Sus scrofa: one gene and its partner. The protein of the gene in region 2 purifies or fractionates together with the protein of the main gene of each other region. This does not show direct contact. Links are inferred from orthologs where the notes say so. Each region holds a gene or a part of one and is shown on either strand. Other genes may lie near its edges.

What was found. Proteins that work in one complex are often made in the same cells at the same time.
Region 1: the proteins of SF3B6 (region 2) and SF3B5 fractionate together in Homo sapiens (co-fractionation; 5 studies listed by BioGRID and IntAct, with this or other methods). This does not show direct contact. The link is inferred for Sus scrofa from reciprocal best matches to the Homo sapiens genes SF3B6 and SF3B5.

What each region holds. Positions count from the first base shown.
Region 1 is NC_010443.5:21,229,907-21,232,574, reverse strand, and holds SF3B5 (splicing factor 3B subunit 5), read right to left. Parts: upstream 1,312-2,668; 5' UTR 1,168-1,311; coding exon 907-1,167; 3' UTR 887-906; intron 778-886; 3' UTR 561-777; downstream 1-560. UniProt on the Homo sapiens protein: Component of the 17S U2 SnRNP complex of the spliceosome, a large ribonucleoprotein complex that removes introns from transcribed pre-mRNAs.
Region 2 is NC_010445.4:114,615,776-114,618,693, reverse strand, and holds the end of SF3B6 (splicing factor 3B subunit 6), read right to left. Parts: intron 1,149-2,918; coding exon 1,010-1,148; intron 838-1,009; coding exon 748-837; 3' UTR 571-747; downstream 1-570.

The DNA of each region.
Region 1 (2,668 bases), on a different chromosome or scaffold from region 2:
CCAGGATGGGAACTCCTGAGCATTCTACTTAAAACTGCAACCCTACTGCTACTCTCATTCTCCACAGCACCCTCCAACATGTGCTTGCTTATGTCTGCAAATTTTGTGGTCTTCTGCTCCCCCAACCAGTGTAATATAGGTCCTTAAAGCCTGCCACATAAAATTCAACACGTATTTGCTGAATGAATTTAAGAACTAATTTGACAGTTTGTCAATACTCAAGATATGTCCACGTATTTCCAAAAGAAAGAGGTGTAATCTACAGAGAGAAGGCAAAGCGAGTCAAGATTTTTTTTTTTTGTATGAAAGAAAAAGGACACAGTGATCACAAACCTCAATAGTGAATGTGTTAAGGGCCTGAGAAAAGTTCCTGGGAGAAGTCAGGGTTGGAGAATATTATAAAGAGCGTATTTAAGTGTCTGGCAACGAACTTTGGCCCTGTGCTACTGTTGAACCCCTCCCCAACCCTTCCCTTCTTTATACCCCCCGCCACCCGGCAAACCACAGTCCCAGAGCCCTCCTTGGCCCCTCCACCAGAACACAAGTAGTCCACACCAAGAGACCGAAACATTTCTAAACTTTATAGAAAAAGCAACGAAGACAGTCAACTAGCCAAAAACGAGCCTCTTAATCCCATCTCACTCCAGCCATATCTCCTCTAACGTCTGCAGACTTTAGGATCTCTCCACTGTTCAGTTTCTCAGGGGTTATGACGGGTCTCCCAACACTTTGTTCCACAGGAAGGCAGGTCGGACGGAACGCCCCGGGTAAGGACCTCTGTACAAAGAAAGCACGAAAAGCAGAGCTATGAAGAATCCGTCCACTTGGGAGAGGAACCCGCGGGAATGACGACAAACCGGAGGAACGCAGAGAGGTGCTCACGTACAGCGGTGAGACGGTGAGGTCTCAGTTCTCCTCCGGTTTGTCGGCGGGCGGGCCGCAAGGCTGCAGCATCTTCTCCATCAAGTTGAAGCGGACTCGCGCTTTGCTCTCATTCTCGGCAATGGCGAAGTAGTTGAGAAGGTCGAAGTGGCCCATGTAGGAGCAATAGGAGTCGCGGTGCTGGTTCACCAGCCACTCCCATTTGGTGGTGTCGGCGTGGCCGGTGCCGATGTATTTGGACTGCAGATGCTCTAACTGGCTGTGGATGGTGTAGCGGTCTGTCATCTCGTTGCTTTTTCCTTTGCTCGCAGGTCAGAAGCCGCAGACGAGAAGAAGCCGCTCTAAGGTTTCAAGCCGGAGAGGAGCCACCCGCCGGAACCTCTGTACACGCGCGGCCGCAGGTGGATGGCGTCACAGCGACAAAGCAGCGCGACTCGCGGTCCCCGGCCTCCCAGGCGGAAGTGTATTCTGTCACGGAATTGGAGTTGCCTCGGCAACGCTACCAGTGGGCCTTCCCTATAGAGAGCCCCGCCTCCTTCGCAGAGCGTTGCATGCTGGTCCATCTAGCGGCCCTTTTCTAACAGGAGCTTTGCATGCTGGGACTTGTGGTTTCCGAGGGTTGGTTCGCAGAGACTTCTTGGGACCTCTGTGTGTGGGTTTGAGAGACTGAATGGACTGCGGTGTTTGGGAGGCAGGAAGCATCCTCGGGCGGATGGGGGGCCGAGAGGAAGTGGGAAACAAGTAGTACAAGGCTGTAAGCAACTGGGGAAAGGAGCTCTTTGTGCAATTCCGCTTTCGGAGCTACAGAGGGTACAGTAGCCGTTTCACAACCAGGGGTGGATCACCCTGAAGTCAGGAAACTCAAGGTCTGACCCCAGCCATGTCTCTTACAAGTTGTGTGGAAACTTCTTTCATCGCTTGCGGGGCCGCCGTTTCCCGCCTAGTGACCTAAGTACAGCACCAGTTCCGACACATTCAGGCCCCCACAACAGGCTCCTCCTTTTGAGCTTCTAATTTTGACATCCTCCCAACAAGTTTCACCCCACCTACAGGCCCTCAGCCTCTACTTCTCAAACGTTCCCGTGCTGCTCTCTCCAGTTCTCTGTACGAGCTGTTCCATCTGCGTGGAATGCTTTTGTTCCCCTGGCAAACACTTCTCCCTTTTAAGTCAGCTCGAAAGTATCTCCCTGAAATTGACTTTGGCTACTCCAGACAGATGTAAATTCTTTTCATCCTGTACATCTCTTTGTTATTATCACTTTATATCCAGTTTTTGGTTTAAGAACTTCCCCACACGAATACAAACTACTTGAGAAAAACTACTTTTTTGATGATGTCTTTTTTTTTTTTTGAGGGTGAGACATCTATCTACTTGATCTATTTGTAGCATGAAATCCACAAAGAAAACCCCAAAATGCGAAGTTCAATAAATTCAAATAGTAATATTTTTAAAAATATTAATGAAAAAGAGATGATGTCTTGTATCATATGCTTCTGTTATGCTAGCCACAGAGCCTCGCAGAGATTGTTTCTCAAAAAACATCTGATGAATGGATTAAAAAAACCTGTATGACGGCCAAATAAATTCTTTACTGGGAGAAAGATAACTTTAAAGTATCTTTATTCTGGTATAAAGTTACGGTTAGATAGGACTAGTAAGTTTAGAGCTCTATAGTTAACTATAGTTAATACTGTATCAATACTAAAAATTGTGAGGAGGTGAATATGTTAATTAGTTTGTGGTACCATTTTATTGTGTATATGTATATCAAATCATGTTGCACCT
Region 2 (2,918 bases):
TTGGAACTTCCCTGGTAGTTCAATGGGTTGAAGACTCAGTGTTGTCACCCAGTGGCTTGGGATGCTGCTGTGGCATGGATTTGATCCCTGGCCCAAGAATTTATGCATGCCCCAGGTGTGGTCCCCCCAAGAGCAACTTTTAATGCATTCATTTTTATTCAATATGACAAGCTTTGGTTTCCTTTTCTGCAAAACTGAGATACCTACCATCACAGAGGTGTTAAGGAATTTCATTATTAATAGACATTCAATAAATAATAATCCTCTAACAAGTTCCTTTGATGGCTAAGCACTAGACTGGATACTGGAGGCATAGAGTATCAAGAGGTCCCTGTCCTCAATAAGCTCTGTCTCTAGGTCCACCTACCACCAAACAACTCTTTTGGCATGTAGAAGTCTCAGGGCCAGGGATCGTACCCGTGCCATGGCAGTGACAATGCTGGATCCCTAAACCAGCTGAGCCACCAGGGAACTCCCAAACAATTCTTGATATGGTTTAACTGCTGTTTTGTTTTGTTTCGTTTTCCTGGTATAATACAATAGGGGAAATTTCAAGAGAACATACTGACATGTTTTATAAAAAGCTACAGGTTTATTAATGTAATATATTCTGATATACATCAAAATTGTAAGCAGGCTTTTTGAGTCTCAAGTATGAAATCACAATTTTCAATATTAACTAAAAACAAAAAAGGGTGCTGATGGCCATTAATGTGTTTTAGTCCAAAATGAAAATGCAGAAGATGTTTACTTTGGTGGATCTGTGTTAATGCCATATTTTTCCTTGAGAAGCTTCAACTGTTCTTCCTTCTTCTTTGTGTCCATCTTCTGAAATGCCTGAAAATGTGGTAAGCACCAAAGTTAACAGTTATCAATCTACAGTCAAATGAATTTCACCAATAGTGCCAGCTAGAAAAGAACTCAAGTACACATCTCCCCTAATGGTACAATTTTCCACTACCTCTCTCATGGGCTCTCCCCACATGATGAGAACCATGGATATACTTACCCTGTTGGCATTATAGTACAAGACCACGAGGTATCTGTTACAAACATTGAATCCTGACAGGTGATCACATGCATTCTTGGCATCAAATATGTCTTCATAGACCACATAAGCTGTTCCTCTAGTTTCAGGTGTGTTCCCCCTACAGAGTTGAAACAGATTTAATTAAGATACACATTTACCTGAAAACCATCAGAGGAAATAGACATTATAGACAGGTATGTTGGATAAGCCTGTAATTTCTCAAATTAGGTAATTTTTGTTTTAAGTAAAATAGTTCAGGTTAAACTTCTATCAAGAACACTAACGTGAGGAGCTTCCATCATGGCTCAGTGGTTAACGAACGGGACTAGAATCCATGAGGATGCGGGTTTGATCCCTGGCCTCACCTCACTCAGGGTCAAGGATCTAGCATTGCCATAAGCTGTGGGGTAGGTCGCAGACATGGCTCAGATCCCACGTTGCTGTGGCTGTGGTGCAGGCCGGCGGCTACAGCTCCAATTCGACTACTAGCCTGAGAACTTCCATGTGCCACAGGTGTGGCCCTAAAAAAATTTTTTTTTAGTTCCAATCCTTAAAGACCAAACAATATTAATGTAGGTAACAACTGTTTCTGGGTAATATTCTACTAAGGTTTTTCAAATCCATAAAAATAAAACTGATTTTGTATCTATCAGGAAGGTAGTGTGGGAGAGAAGCCCCTACCAAGACAGCAAAATTATAAATGATACACAAGAAAACAGCCAACCACCATCTTTTATGGCCAGAAAGGCTGTACCCCAATATAAGGAGTTAGCATAGTTTCTTCCACTTTTCTTAGCAGATTCACTGCTTTTTTAAAACACAAAACTCCCAACTTTCATACATTCTTTTTTTTTTTTCTTTTTGGGCCATACCTGTGGAGTTCCCAGGCTAGGGGTCAGATTGGAGCTGCAGCTGCCAACCTACACCACAGCCACGCAGGATCTGAGCTTCATCTGTGACCTACACCACACCTCATGGCAACACCGGATCTTTAATCTACTGAGCGAGGCCAAGGATCAAATCCACATGCTCATGGATGCTAGTCAGGTACATAACCTGATAAGCCACAACGGGAACTCCCCACACATTCATTTTTAATAACACCTGTACCTTCATGCATTACACAGCCCTACGCAGCCTGGGAAAAGAGCTGGGTTTCTAGAGAGACTGGGGTTGAAGTGTACTTGTAGGTAGTTACCTGTGAGCCAGAGCAGAATGCTACAATGTGGCCAGAAGGGTAAAGTGAGGCTGGATCTCGCCCATGGATATGAGACTGCTTCTTGTTCAACTGTTCCTTGCCACCTCCTCTCCTCACATCACAAACTCCCATTAGGGGAGGGGGTAGGGAAGTGTGAGGAGCAGCAAACTGCAGGTGGCAGATGGCCATGTGCTTGTGAGTGGGGACAGCGGGCAGAGGTCCCAATCGGCTTATGTTCCAGTAAGCTAAACATGGATCCCCTTGCCTTTTTGTGTTCTAGCCACCCACTGCAACTGAGGACTCAGGTTTACCAACTGCCATAGTCCCTGCCCAGGGTCAAGGAAAGGCAGTGGGCCCATGGGAAGGGGAAGATCTGGTGAAGAATGAGACTACAGTCTTGGGCCCCAGCCAGAACCTGTGCTTCCTGTAAAAGGGGATGGGATAGGTACAGGGTACTGGGTGGTTAGAGGGTGCCAGTGACACTGAACACTCTCATTCTGTCAGGCAGCATAGGCCTGATGGAGAATTTTATAAAATTCCTTACTCTGCAAATAATCTAACAACTTTAGGACTTTTGACCATTTTCAAGAATGTTTTAGGTATGAGAACTGGGGACTACCCAAAGGAAAAACACTGTCCCGAAGATTTTCCCAAAAAGTCTACCTAATTTTTCCTTCAGAATAAAACCAT